2 linked regions of the Notamacropus eugenii genome follow. The protein of the gene in region 1 purifies or fractionates together with the protein of each later gene. This does not show direct contact. Links are inferred from orthologs where the notes say so. Each region holds a gene or a part of one and is shown on either strand. Other genes may lie near its edges.

Region 1 (7,232 bases):
GCTACTGAAGAGAGTGCAACTCTGACTGACTGGCCGCGTTGTTCAAACGCCAAACGTACATTTGCCTAAAAGATTGTTTTATGGAGAACTCATGCAAGGCAAGGGCTCACACGGTGGTCAGGAGAAGTGATACAAGGACACTTTCAAGGTCTCTCTGGCAAAGGATGGCCTAGAATGGCATACCTGCATCAAAGAAGGTGCTGTGCTCTATGAAGGAAAGAGAATTGCAGTAACTGAAAAGAAAAGAAAAATGAGAAGTATGAGTTTAGAGATACCTCTACTCCAAATGTTCATATGAACTCTTTGTGCCCAACCTATGGTAAAGCCTTCCTAGCTTACATCAATCTGATCAGTCACAGTCAGATATACTTAACCCCAACAAAGTGATGATATTTTGGTCATTTTTGATTAAGTTGCTTGGTTGTTGTCCTTCATTCTCAAAGAGGACCATTACAGTGTGTCTGACTGTGGCTGACGAGACAAATACAAGCTGAGAATGCTCCACTGCAGGTCAGGCACAAACAGTTCATGTGAACATTTGGGGGTGTATCCTAATTTGTATATCCTGCATTTCCTTTGAGCTGTCTCAACTGTGCTTCGCTCACAGAGCACAGCACCTTCTCTGATGTGGGCACCCCATGCTGAGCGGTTCAGTGCCAGTGTCTCCCATGTCGCATAAAGGACAACAAGCAACCAATAAAGGCTTCGTCAATATCAATACCATTGGTATTCCTCAATTCCAGGCTGCTCAGCTCCTTTTAATTCCACTGCCTAGTTAAGTACTCTGCATATAGTACCCATTTAATGTCTGTTAAATTAAGATGAATTGAAAGGAAGAAAGTATAGGACTTTATAATAGACAGAGAATGAGAAAAAGGAGAGGAAAGATTCAAAGATGATTCCAAAGTGCTGTGTTGGAGAAAATGGTAGGAGTACCAAACTAATAAAACTGGGAATGTTGGGAATGTGGCCACATTAGGAAGGACAACAATGACTCTATGGTTGGAGTTTGAAGGGACCTTGGAACCCATCTAGTCCAATCGATTCATTTTACACAGGAAGAAACTGAAGCCCAAGAAGACAAAATGACTTACCAAGGGTCCCCCAATGGTACAGCAAAGTCTAATAGTGAGTTTCAGGTGACAGCTGGAAGTGGAGGCCTAGTTTAAAGGTCCAGGTCCTTGGTCAGGGTTGGGAAGAGACATTTATGATCCATCACCATGGAAGTAGTGAAGGTGAGGTACCAAAGAATGTGATGAATAAAAGAGTGGGAGAAGGAAGCAAGTAGGTAAGAAAGGAAGAGAAAGAAAGAAGGCTTACAAGAAAGTAGGTAAGAAAGGTCAAGAATCAAATCTTGGGAGATAGCTACAATTATGGGACAGGAAGAAGGAAAGGAAAGAAGTCATCAGGCAGCAGGAGAAGAATGAAGAAACAACATTTTGCTTTAATTTATCTCTAATCCTTTAACTTTTGAGAAAACAAAATACTATCCCTCCCATTTCTGGGAGTTAAATCTTCATTGGGCGGCTTGGTGGTGCAATAGAGAGAGTGCCAGCCTGGTATTCTAGACTCCTAATTCAAATATGGCCTCAGACACTTAACAAGCTGTATTACCCTAGGCAAGTCACTTAACCTCAGATTCCTTATCTGTAAAGTGGAGAAAAGAATAGCTACCTCCCAGGGCTATTGTGAGGATCAAATAACATGAAAATTGTAAAGCATTTAGCACAGCACCTGGTGTATAATAAATGTGAGCTATTATTAGTCAGTCATATAATTCAACAATTTCATGTAAATAAGCTTTAATCCTGAGCAAGACCCATCTTTTTCCTTAGATTTAAGCAAAATTAGAAACTCTGGATTTCTACTTAAACTTGAACTGATTGAGAGTGAAGTGGCTATTGGCATGAGTTGGGAGATTGATTTGCCCAGGAACTACATCACTGTTTCTTGTTCTTACAAAAATCTCAGTATTAGAATTCAGAAACCTCCTGTAAAACTGATGGCTTGTTATTTACAATAACTGTAATTATTTTATTTTTACATAAATATTTACTTAAATATTATACATAAATATTATTTTATACATATTATATTTATATGTTACTATTATTTTAAGATGCTAGGATCATAGATTTAGGGATAATAGAAGGGACCTTTGAGGTCATTTAATACAACTACCTCATTTTGCAGAGGAGGAAACTGAGGTCCAGAGAGCTAAGATTACCTGTCCCAGGTCACAAATGTAGTAAGTGCCAGAGGCAGGATTAAAACCTAGCTCTTCTGATCCCAAATCTGGCCACTTTTCCATTGCCCCATGCTATAACCCAATTCACCTTTCTGGGTCTCTGCTTCCTCCTCTGTAAAATGAAGGGGTCCATTTAGATGAGGGGGTTCTGACCCTCTGTGTCATAGAGACAAGTTCATGGACCTCTTGAAATGGAACCATGACCCCCAGTAAAGAACTCTTCTTTTCAGGCCCTAAAATCTTCCCCATTATTTAAATCCTCTGGTTTTTTGCAAAAGTACTTTTTTTCAAGGAAATATGCTTAATCAAATATACAAAGAAACAAGGAAATCTAGGGTCACAATTGAATACAGTATTTATACCATATTGTCCTTTTTCAAATTTCAAAAATCAAGATTTCATCCACCTTGGTTTTCTCCCCACTGCCGCAGAAAGCAATGAGAAGATCCCAGATTTAGAGCTGGAAGGGATCTCAGGACTCACGTACTCCAACCTTCTCATCTGACAGAGAGTAGGGAAAGTCAAACGATCTGATGGTCATGAAAACATTCAGTGACCAGGTCCTCTGCCTCCCAATCCAAGACTCTTCATTCTCTCTCAGCACACTGAAGGAGAAGGCATTGAGTTACTAGGACCAAAAAAATCATCTCCTGGTGGTGGGCAGGCTCCTGGGGATCATCGTTTAAGCTAGGCTATTCCTCAGTGGTACTTGGGGCGCCTTGAGCTTGGCAGGACCTGTAGAACACCTGTATGTCCGCAGCCCTCACCCGAGGACAGCACTCCACACCAGGTGCCTGGACCTGCTCTTTCCAGCCTGTCTTCTGATCCGTCCTTCCCAGGACCACCACAGGTCTTTTGTACAGCAGACATACAGGGTCTCCTCCTCCTCCTCCACTCTGCCCAGCCTCCTCTCCAAAGCACCCTGCCCTCTCATTTCACCAAGGGGTCTCCTTGGCAGGACTGTCGTCCTTTCGCTGTTCCATTCTCGCCCGCTCTGCAGCGCTCAGCGCACGCAGCAACTCCTCCTGGAAGTCCTCCTCGCTTGCCCTTCTCTAATGCATAGATTGGGTGATTCCTTGGCACTCGGTAGTTGCGATTATTGGTCTTTGTATCGCGCCCTCCTCTGAGATCTGCAGCTCCCGGAAGGCCGGGGGGAGGTCTTTATCTTGGAATTGTGCGCGGCGCTTAGACTCGCGTGTCCCAGCTCCAGGAGCCCAGGAAGCCTCTTCCCCCGGGAGCGGGGCGGGGGTGCACCCCAGTCTTTGCCGCGGCAGCCCCGATCCCTGCGCACTGCGCAGCTCCGGCGCCGGCGGGCTCTGGGGCGCCTTGGGCCGGGTCCCTCTGCCTTATGGCCCGGCCCCTGGAGCAGAGCCCTTCCAGGACGGGGCAGTTCAGGGATGCGCGTAGTAGGAGCGCAGGGAGGGGGCAGAAATGACTTTTTCTTTCTTTTTCCACTTAGGGTCGGACACGTCCCTTCGGAGAAATAAGACCAAACTTGCGCGCGCGCCAGAGATGGGAGAAGGGGGTGGGGGTGGGGACCTGGGGAGGAGGAGAGCGGGGCGGACGGCGCGAGCCAGGCACACGCCGGGCGGGTCCGGACCAGCGCGCGCGCGCCCGCGGGCCGGCCCGAAGCCGGAGCCCCGCCCCGTCCGCCCCTTCTCCGCCCCCCCCCCCCCGCGCGCCCTTGCGCCGGGCCACGTGACCCATTTTGTTGTGGTCCCGGCCCGCGTGGGTGTCAGTGGTGGTCAGGCCGAGGGGGGGAGGGGCCGGGAGGGGCGGGGCGGGGCCGGGCGGCGCGGGTCACGTGACTGGGGTTTAAATCTCCCGCAGCCGGCGCGGCGGGGGCGCCAGAGCTGCTGCTGCGCGTCTGCTGAGCGGGTGGGCGGGGGCCGGCGGCGGAGCGCGGGCGGCGGAGGCGGCGCCGAGGCCAGGCCCAGGCCCAGGCCCAGGCGGGCGGGAGGCGGTTGAAGATGGCGGACGAGGCGGCGCTCGCCCTGGAGCCCGGCGCGGGCGGCGCAGGTCCCGCGGAGCCCGGCGGGGAGCCGCTCAGCAAGCGGCAGCGCAGGGACGGCCCGGGCCCGGGCCCGGGGGCGGAGCGGGCCGGCGGGGCGGGGAGCCCAGGCCTGGAGGCGGCGGCTGCCCCTTTCGGGGAGGCCGCGGCCGCCCCCGGCGGGGACAATGGACCGGGCCCTCGGGGCCTGCGGGGCCTGCCCCGGGAGCCTCCGCCACTGCCGGACGACGACGACGACGACGACGACGAGGACGACGACGAGGAGGAGGAGGAGGAAGAGGGGGGCGAGGACGAGGACGAGGCGGCGGCGGCGATTGGCTACCGAGGTGCGCAGGGTCCGGGCGGCCGCGACTGCGCACCGCCCCCCGGGGCCGCCCGAGCGGGGAGGGCCGAGGAGGCGGGGGCCGGGCTCTCACCGCCGGGCCAGGCCGGGCGGCGGGAGGCCCCAAGGTCCACCCCGGGCCCGTGACCTCGGCGTCGGGACTGGCTGGGCTCCTCCCCCTCTCCCGCGCTCAGTGCGGCGAGGTCACTCCTGGTCATCCCCCGCTGCGTTCCCCTCCCTTGGCCTCCTCTGCAGGACCTCCGGTGTTCGGGGCCCCTCCCGCCTACCCCTCTACTAACCTGATCACCTCTTGTGCAGAGGCTGGCTTTTCCGCAGCCCCGGGCTGCTTGACGAGGGGTGGGTTCGGATAGCCACCCTCCGCTCCTGCCTGTTTGTTTCTAGTCCTCGTTTTTCAGGGGCTCAAGTTTTATTACCATTATTAATATTTTGGACTCTGCATGTTCAGGAAGCCGGCGTAGCGAATTCTTGCTGTAGATGAAGGTAGACTGGTGGGCAAGGTAAATTGATGTCTCCTAGTTTGGAGGTGACCCCGGGCTCTCCACGTTGGTGCCAAGAGGATCCTAAGCGCCGGCTGGTTGTGTCAGACTGAAAAGGCTTCGTTGTCCCAGCGGACCTGCTTAGGTTGTTGGGAGAAGCCTCCCCCTGAATGGGCTGCAGAGCCATGAATATGGCCACAGCAACTCCCCTACAAAGGGGGTGGAATCCGAGGAGCGAGGGAGTACTCACACCAAGGAACAGATTCTTGAAGTTTAAGAAATATGGGCAAGATCACTGAATGCCAACTTTAACTTAACCTGAAAAACTCCTTTCCCCGCTCTAATCTTATTCTTGCATAGCATCTTCAGCTCGTTACTAGTCTAGCGTTTGGTAAACCAAAAAACACTTTAAAAAAATTTTGAGTGATCCTTATTGTTAGGTGTTCTTTTGGGGAGAGTAGAGGGAAAAGGAATAGTTTAGTTTGTGATAAGTCAATTCACATACAGCCTTTTACTTCTATTGACGTGAAGCTGTTGGCATCATTTAGCATCAGGTTGTTGGCATCAAGTCATTTGATGCTGCTGTCTTTTGAACTTTTGAAGCTGTGTGACTCTGGGCAAATTACTTAAACTGTTTGCCTCAATTTCCTCAACTGTAAAATGGGAATAATAAGTAGCACCTACCTCCCAGAGTTGTGTGGATTAAGTTAGATAATTGTAATAAAGTGCTTAGCACAGTGCTAGGTGCTTAGTGAATGCTATATAAATGTTAGCTATTATTATGAAGGCTTTCTAGATATAATATATATACATATATATACACACACACACATATATATGGAAGACTTTCCAGATGAAGGAAGCAAGTATGTGAATTAACTATTATTTGGTTTACATTTACTTGAAAGCCACTACTTGTAGTCCAAAGAACTCATGTTTGATAGGCAGTCCTGTTTTATAAATTATCAGTGTATTTTTTCCTTTTTGCACTATCTTAGATTCTGTAGTTAGATTGTTAATCTCTGGGAATCTAGAATCATTTCAATGAAAACACGGTGACACTGAATTACTTAACTAATTTAAAATATAGTAAATAATTGGTCTGAAGTCCTTTCACTATGTTTCATTGTTCTGAGGAGATGACCCTGGGTGCCCAGAGACCAGTGGAGGCCAAGCTGGGAGGGTTTGTGTGTGTGTTTGGTTTTTTTTACAGGTGAGGCACTGAACCAGTCTTGCAGCTAAGAACCAGTAAGGAGTTTAGTCCCCAGGTCATTAATGATTTTTAGCTACTAACTTAAGAAACTCTCTGTTTGTTGGAGCTACAGTCTGCCTTGGGAGAGAGTGAAAATACGTATGAGATTACTCTTTTAGAAGTCGTTTGTATTTACTTAGCTTCAAATTTTGCCCCCCTGTACCCATTAGAATGTAAGGGATTGAAGATAGGGACTGGTTTTTTGGTCTGCATGTTTCCAGTGTCTATAACAATGGCTTGCAAATAGACATTTAATAAATAATTTGAAATATTAATTGAACTAGGGAAGATGAAGGAAATAAGCATTTATATAGTGCCTATTGTATACCAAGCATTTTTTACAGTTATCATTTGATCCTCACTACAACCCTAGGAGGTAGGTGCTATTATCTTCATTTTACAGATGAGAAAACTGAGGCAAACAGGTTAAGTGCCTTGTCCAGGGTCACACAGCTTGTAATTGTCAGAGACTGGATTTGAACTCTGGTCTTTCTGACTTGAGTCCCACCACTCTAATATACTCCTCCACCAGCTGCTTCCAGTAAAAAAAATTTTGAGTTCATTTACTTTTGAATATCGTTATAATGGGTCCTTAATAAGATGTCACACTTCCTTTTTGGTCCTGTGATTTCTGGCTGCAGCCAGTTCTTATTGAGGAAACTTCCTTTGTAGATTGTTGGCTAACTTGTTCTCTTAGAGAGCTACCTTTGGCACTGAGAAGTGACCTACAGTCACAGAGCCAAATCTGTCAGACTGAACCCAAACCCAGGTCTTCTGGGCTTGGAGGCCATTTCTTTGGCCAGTATTCTATACCTTCCCTTTGGTCTGCCCCTTTTTAGAGATGTCATCTATTTCCTTTTCTAAGGCATTTTATTTCTCTCTGTTTTGCAGAAAATCTCTTC
Region 2 (7,686 bases), on another chromosome or scaffold:
ATGAGTGCAGATAGAATGCTTTTTAAACTTTGTGTTGTTTTTTTGCAACATGCCTAATATGGAAATATTTTTTACATAACTTCCTATGTATAATTTATATCAGATTGCTTTCGTTCTCAGTGGGTGGGGGAACAGCTGGAGGGAGGGAAGATGGAACTCAAAACATAAAAAAAAGAATGCTAAAAATAAATAGATAAAAAAATAAAATAAATGGAGATTGGAGGGCAAGATTTCCTTTAGCTTGGAGGTCAGGAAGTATGAATCAGGGAAAGGCTTCATAATGCACCTGAACTGAGCTTTGAAGAAAAAGGCAGCATTGTGGAGGGAGGCCTCCCAGGCATTAGTACAAATGGTCTGCACAAACTGAATAGGAATTCCTGGACACTTGGAAAGAAATGTTTCATATTTCAAGTACAATGTGCTATTAAGAGTAACAACTTCTGACAATGTTTCAACCTTAACAGTATGCAATAGGGCATCTCAATCATCTTTTTGTGTCTCAAAGGAGTGTCTCACTGATAACACACAAGGAGACATTGGAGGTCTTGGACTGCAGCCTCTAACAGGTTCACTCTTGATCTGGTCAGACAGGCAGGCAGCTTCTGGGGGATTAATAATCAGCTTTATTCTATTCTAGTCTTCTCAAAGGGTTGTGGGAGAACCAGCTCCTACAGCACTCCCTAATCACCCTTCTTGAAGGGGTCAATCCAGACAGGCACACTTCTGCTTCCCTTAAATCCCCTCAAGCCTCCATGGGGGCCAGTTGAGACACACAAACTCCCTGTGCCTTTTCCCCCTCTATGGGTTTCTCCCCATTCACTGAACAATGCCCACTTGCTTTTATAGGGACAAAGACAGGCAACTTGCCAACATTAAGCTCACAGGTAACTTTAGCAATATAATCGTTCTGGGCAAGTGCAGTAAATATCAATTATGTCACTCCCATTTCTCATGGTGCAGCCTCAGTAAGACTGTCTGTCACTATGATTCTAAGAACTATTATCTAGAATCCTTGGGACCATTCTGGGAGTAACTATCTAATAACTATCTAACACCTGTAAACTAGACATTCACATGGCCATGGATCCTGAGAAACTAAAAGGATAACAAAAACCTCCTTACATACAGGAGAATAGCTTTTAGTTTCATAGGTAAATTGCTAGAAGGAATCTTAGAAATAATTGAATCCAAACCCTCTACCTCTGTGAGTTATCTTCAGGAAACTAAGACAGAGAGGTTAAGTGACTGTTAATAAAGGGGCAGAAGGTGGACTCAATTGAACCTAGATCCTGACTCTAGGATTACTCCCCTTTCCCACTGCCCCAGGTTAGGAGTCAACTTTCAGAAAAGGAGTGAAAGAAGAGGTTGAACCCAAACCACAGAGGCCTTGAATTCCAGGCTAAGTCTTTTATATCTTATCTGGTAGACCAAGAGGACAGATAAGGTGCACTGGAGAGAGCATGGGGCTTGAAGTCAGGAATATTTGAGTTCAAATCTGGCCTCAGACACTTACTACGTGACCCTGGACAAGGCACAGTTTCTTATCTGTAAAATGGAGACACATGGGGGAAGGAAATGGCATAATCTTTGCCAAGAAAACTTGTGCTTATCCATGGGGATCAGGATGAGTCAGAACAAGCCATGAGAATCTACTAGGGGCTTTCTAGCAGCCATAGGGCTCTACTAAAACTGTTACTTCAAGGTTCTTTGAATCACTCCCAGGATGAATGATAGAGGGTTAGTGAAGAAATATTAAATGCTCTCAAAATATTGAAACTGGAACCGACAAAGTATCTGGAAACCCAGAGGTTCTTTTCAAAGTTTAGAAAAAGGAGTTACAGGGAGAGTGCAGAAGGAGGAAAGACACCCCTCCATTAGGTTTGAGGTCCTGTCAAATCCTTTTGAACTTGAAATCCTCTCTGATCCCAAGTTCAAACTTTTCCAATCACGACCACCCACTTGGGCACTGAGATTTCCCTTACGTCACCAATGCTTTCTGGCCACGTGGTGGCCACATGTAAAAACAAGAAAGCGGTGACATAATGGGGCAGTCACGCCAACCACGGGCGTTGTAACAGCGATCTCGAGTTAGGGAGATGGATTTGCCCGATGCCTATGGAGGAAAACCGTGGCTACAGCGGCTCGGAACAGCTTCTTTTGCAAGTCAGAGCTTAACTTCACTGGGGACCCGGGTGAGGCTCCGCAGGCTGAAAGAAGCCCCTCCAGATCTGCTAGGAAAGGGGGAGAAGACGCCTCTGCTCCCCTGTGAATGCCACACACCTAAGGGGGAGACTTGGGGGGTGGGGGCCGGCAGGCGAGATGGGAGTGGGCGGTGGGAGAGAGTGAAGGAATGGGAGGGAGAAAAGGACAGAAAAAGACGAATGATACGGAGCTAAGGGAGGGAGGGAGATTCGCAGAGAGGAGGAAGGAGATATGGAAAGAAATAAAGGAGGGAGAGAGAGGGGAGGAGAAAGGGAGAAGGGGGGGGAGAGAGAGAGAGATTGGGAAAGAGGTAGGAGAGAAAGACCGTGAAGAGGAAGGAAGGACTGAGAGAAAGGGTACCGGGAGATGCGGGGAGAGGAAGGGGATACAGACAGACACACACTAACTCTCTCTCTCTCTCCCCTCCCCCCGGGGTGGGGGGCGGGCGCGAGCACTTCGGCTTCCCCCAGCCAGCCCGAGGCTGCTCCACGAGTCCCCTCCCCTGCGCGCCACCGCCAGCACAACATTCCATTTATAAATAACCCCCACGTGTGCTGGTAAATAAGCGCGCGGCGCGTAACTCGCGAGGCTCCCGCCGAGCATGCGCCGGCACGCCCGCCCCTCCCCTCCGCACGTGTCCGCCGACTTCCCTAGCGCCGCCCAGCTGCACTCAGTCCCCTCCCCGAGATTCCGCTGCCCTCCCACTGCTGGCCCCCGGGGCTTTGGACACCGCCCCCTAGCTCTGGGCTCGCCAGCCTCCGGGGTCCTAGAGCTAGCCCAGGTTCTTGGCGTGCCGTGGGGAGCGCTCTGCCGCCCAGTCCTCTCTCTTCAGGAGGCGCAGGCAGAAAAAAGAATCTTTCTGGCTCGCGCGCTCTTTTTTCCTCCTCCATCCCACGGTTCCTTAGGATTTTACTCGATTGTTTATTATTGGCGGGGCGGGGGAGGGGAGTGGTGGAAAGGGGCGGGAGATGGGAGGCCGGAGACTGGAGCCTAGGCGCCTGGGCCAGTCAGAGTGCGGCGGGGCTTGATGGGTGAGACGAGCAGCGAATGGTGGCGCGGCAGACGGCGCGGCGGTCACGCGCTTATTGATACAATGACATCATCTGTTTGTACGCGTCGAACTAGCTTGGTGCAGGGGCGGGAGCGTACGTCACTTGAGTGACTGACCCTCCGCCAAGCTCGGAGTCCTCGGGCGCCTCCTGCTTGGGGAAGTGGAGGTGGGGCCGGGGACGGGAGCGGGGTGGAGGGGCGCGGCTTGGCTGGCAAAACCCAATGGATGCGCTTTTGGACAATTTCGGATTGCTAATGGGCTCGCGGCTCGCGTGTTCCCAAGAACTTCCCTGAGACTTTATGTAATGACAATAATAAATAACGTGTGTGACTGAAGACAATCTGATATTTCATTTCCACTTAGTACATGTAAAGAAGTGCACAAGTAACCTGGCGTCCAGCTTTAGGCTCACGTCCCTAATGCAAGGAATGAGTGGTGAAAGATGTTTGCCGGAGAAAAATCTATTTAGAAATGGAGCGAACATACGTAATTACCATATTAAATGTTGTACTATGTTATAGTATAAATATTAAATACAGCACAAATACTGTATTAGAGCAACTTGAAAGTCTATTTTCCAACAGCTTGTGACTATCTGCTTCTGCTTTTCCATTCAAGTATTGTTCTGTCGGTACTAATTACTTCGTTCCTCTCTTCTTCTCCCGCCTCCCCTCCTCACCCCCCCGCCATAAAACCCATTCAAAGGAAACCTAGTTTTCTTCATGAATAATCGTGTATAAACTAGCATCTGGACTAGTGTGCCTACGTGTTGGGGAGCCCGCGAGGGCCCGTACATTAAATCAAAGGGTTTCTGTTTGTATCAGTCTGTGCGAGTGGCAATCTCTTCCTCGTGGTGTCATGCAGTATATGCGGTGGGTCCCTTAACCCCCGGCCTAATCACTCGTGCAAGTCTTCAGCCAACGTCTTAGTAAGGAAAAGAGCAGTTATCACATCTCTCATCTTCTCTGGAGCTCATTAGGACATGAACACTGAATCTCCTCCAGAGTGCACATGAAGGAGCTCTCAACTGTGGGTTCCAACTGTACTGGATCCTGTGTCCCCAGCTCCACGGAAGTCCTGAGTGAAATTCCCAAAAAGCAAAACACTTTTACACCAGGTCGTAGTTTTCTGGTTATTGGGAAGTGCGGCCGGAGAGATACAGGGAGAGACTGACACTTTGTAGCTTGCAAGCGAATCCATTCTTGCCCTTGCGGGAACGTTCCTGGTAATAAAGATCTCAGCAAAGTTTCTCAGCTCTCGGTTCCCCTCGAGCTTTCTCCTCCCCTTCCTTGTCCAGCGTGGGCGCGCACGCACACACACACACACACACACACACAGACACACATCCCCCCCGCTGCCTGCCTTCTCGGTCCTCCCTCCCCCTGGGCGGGGACCTGTCTGCTGTCAGCTTAGGTTGAGGCTCCCTGCGTGTGTCTATAACTTTGTGTAGCTGCTGCTGCTGGTTGTTAGGAGAAGGAATGTGGAAGTCAGCAGTGTGGAGGGTGACAGGCTGCCCGTGCAAGCTGCAGGAGCGGCAGCAGCAAAAACCTAAACCCTTCTCCCGCGCAGATTCTTCGCTTTCTCTTTTTCGCATTTTTGGGAGACGTGCAGAATTTTGCATTCTCCCCCATCGTTTTTAAAGGGAAGGTGCCGCGGTAGACACAGGAACTATGCAACGGGGTTGCTGCTTTTCTCTCCTGTGACTCCGGATCTGTTTTTGAACAAGCTCAGGTTCTTCCCTTTCCCCTCCCCTTGACTTTGTCTTTTTCTCCCCCTCCGCCGTCTTCCCCAATCCGCCCCCTTCCTCTCCCTTTCTCCCTTTCTAGTGTTTTTTAAAGGACTTGAGTGAAGGGGGGTGGGGGGAGAACTGTCAAGATGGCAGCAGCAGGAGCAAGGAGGTTATGAATGTGTTAGTACTGGATCTTCTCGCAGCCTTAGGGAAGACTTGAAGCTTCCAGACCTGTTGGAAGATTTTTGCTTTGATTTGCCTTTTTTTCTTGAGAGGCAAACGACGTCAGCAAGAACATTGCAAAACAAAACACCAAAGTGGTTTTTCCTTGCCCAGTTCAGCTTCTTGCGAACAGCCTCCGTTCTATTCTTTTGATTTTTGAAAGTATCTCGGACTGGACGGGCATGAATTTAGATGCATATTAACCCTTTCCTGCCTCTGAGTCGGAACGAGGAGAGAAAGGGAACTGAGGGCGAAAAAGTCATCGTGGTAATGCGAGAGCTCTAACCTCGTCTACGGAAGCAAGAAAGAAGCCTGAGCTGCTCTCTGATGGATACAGTGTAATTTCTGTGGTGCGGGTGCCTCGTCGTCGGTGGGAGGGTGGAGGTCCGAGAAAGATCGGAAGACGCTACAGACTTCTCTCCCCTGCCACAGAAGGAAGCACTTCTCTGTCTGCATGGAGTGAAATATAAACAAACACACACACTCCCAGTAGCAGAGCAGGCACCGAGCTGCACCACTCAATTGCGTTTGGCTTCTCCTCGCTTTAAAGGGACAACCCTCCCTCCCCAGTACCCTCCTCCTCCACCTCCTCACTTCCCCCTCCCCCCTCCTTCTCTCACTCTTCACCCCCACCCCTCCCCCTCCCTCCTCCGCCCTACCTTCCTCCCTTCTTCCACGCCCCAGCCACCTTGTCCAGGAGAGACCTGCCTATCTGACCGCAGCTGGGGGAGGGGGTTGCCCCATCCGTGCCTAATCCTCCGATTGTCTCCACCCCCACCCCTCCCACCCCCCCGCACCCTCAGGCGGCGGCTGCTTTGGACTGGGAGTCGCTCGCTCTACCAGGTTCACGGGAAGGGACGTTTCCAGGTCTGCCTGTTCCCCTGGCTTGGCGAGGTACTGATCTGGGAAAAGGAGGCGGCGGCAGTCAAGGTCCGCCAGGGACTTCATTCCAGCTCAGGATAACCAACTCTCTCCCCTGTTTCCCTCCTTTTCTCCCCCACCCCCCAGCCCTCCTCCCCGCAGGCTGCGATCCTGATCCCTTAGCCCGTTCTCCCCCCCTCCCCTCCTTCCCTCCCCCACTTTACCCCGCCCCAGCGAGAGAGCCAGGAGGAGAACCACCGCTCGAGCTAGAGAGCGAGCGAGGGAGAGAGCGAAGGAGCGAGCAGCAGCAGGCAAAAGGCAGCCCGAGGGCCCGGGCGGCGAAGATGGCAGAGGCGCCGTCCTCCCCGGCCCCGCTCTCGCCCCTGGAAGTGGAGCTGGACCCGGAGTTCGAGCCCCAGAGCCGGCCCCGCTCCTGTACGTGGCCCCTGCAGAGGCCCGAGCTGCAGGCGAGCCCGGCCAAGCCCTCGGGGGAAGCGGCCGCCGACTCCATGATCCCCGAGGAGGAGGACGACGAGGAAGACGACGACGGAGGCTGCGGAGCCCCTGGGGGCGGCGGAGGAGCCGGTACGGCCATGGCCATGGGCGGCGCGGGCGGCGTCCTCGGCCCGGGACTGCGCCCCGAGGAGGCGGCCCGGCTCCTGGCCCCGGGAGGGCAGGACTCGGGGTCCGGCGCGCCCCCCGGGGCAGGCGTGCTGAGCGGGGGGCAGCAGGCGCCTCTGCAGCCTCCGCAGGCGCCGCTGCCGCTGCCCCCTCCGCCGCCGCCGCCGCTGCAGCCGCAGCAGCCGCAGCAACAGGGGGCGAGCGGGGCCGCGGGGCAGCCGAGGAAATGCTCCTCCCGGAGGAACGCGTGGGGAAACCTTTCCTACGCCGACCTGATCACCCGGGCCATCGAGAGCTCCCCGGACAAGCGGCTCACCCTGTCCCAGATCTACGACTGGATGGTGCGCTGCGTGCCCTACTTCAAGGATAAGGGAGACAGCAACAGCTCCGCGGGCTGGAAGGTGCGTACGGACTAGCCCCCCAGGGGGGATCGGGAGGGAGGCACGGCAGTACTTTAACCAGCGCTTTCGCAGGTGGCAGAAGCAGTTTGAGAGGTTGCAGATAAGGTGGTGTATGTGTGGAGGGGGTGTCGTACGTATATGGAGAGAGGAGGATGGAGGAGATGGGGTGTAGCAGTGCATTGGGATGCAATGGGAAGGGTGTTGTTGAGGATGAGGGAAAGGGATGGTGATGCGCAAGGAAAAATTGGAGTGGTGGAGTCTAAAAGAGCTCCCTGGGACGAATTCCGGAGTTGGGAGAGGTTAACGAGTAAATGGGTGGGTACCGGGGAGTTTAAAAACGGAAAGGTGGATCTTACCGAATTCCCTGGACAGCTCTGAGGCAGGTAGGTGGGAAGGGGGCCAACTTCATTTGGTGATGATTACATGATAAGAAGAGAGAGAGGGAGAGAAAGAGAAAGAGAGATAGATAGATGTGTGTGTGGCCCAATCGTCCGGAGAGATGTGGGAACATAGAACAGGATAGGTGAAGAAGGTGGATTTTGGGTTCCTTGCACTGCGGAGTTAAGTGTATCGTTCTCTGAAGATAATGGGTGTCTACA

The links. The genes of interacting proteins can lie anywhere in the genome.
Region 2: the proteins of SIRT1 (region 1) and FOXO3 purify together in Homo sapiens (affinity purification with western blotting; 4 studies listed by BioGRID and IntAct, with this or other methods). This does not show direct contact. The link is inferred for Notamacropus eugenii from reciprocal best matches to the Homo sapiens genes SIRT1 and FOXO3.

The regions. Positions count from the first base shown.
Region 1 is NC_092872.1:261,064,389-261,071,620, reverse strand, and holds the start of SIRT1 (NAD-dependent protein deacetylase sirtuin-1), read left to right. Parts: upstream 1-4,137; 5' UTR 4,138-4,218; coding exon 4,219-4,585; intron 4,586-7,221; coding exon 7,222-7,232. UniProt on the Homo sapiens protein: NAD-dependent protein deacetylase that links transcriptional regulation directly to intracellular energetics and participates in the coordination of several separated cellular functions such as cell cycle, response to DNA damage, metabolism, apoptosis and autophagy.
Region 2 is NC_092873.1:188,223,483-188,231,168, forward strand, and holds the start of FOXO3 (forkhead box protein O3), read left to right. Parts: upstream 1-4,667; 5' UTR 4,668-6,409; coding exon 6,410-7,087; intron 7,088-7,674; exon of another isoform or gene 7,675-7,686. UniProt on the Homo sapiens protein: Transcriptional activator that recognizes and binds to the DNA sequence 5'-[AG]TAAA[TC]A-3' and regulates different processes, such as apoptosis and autophagy.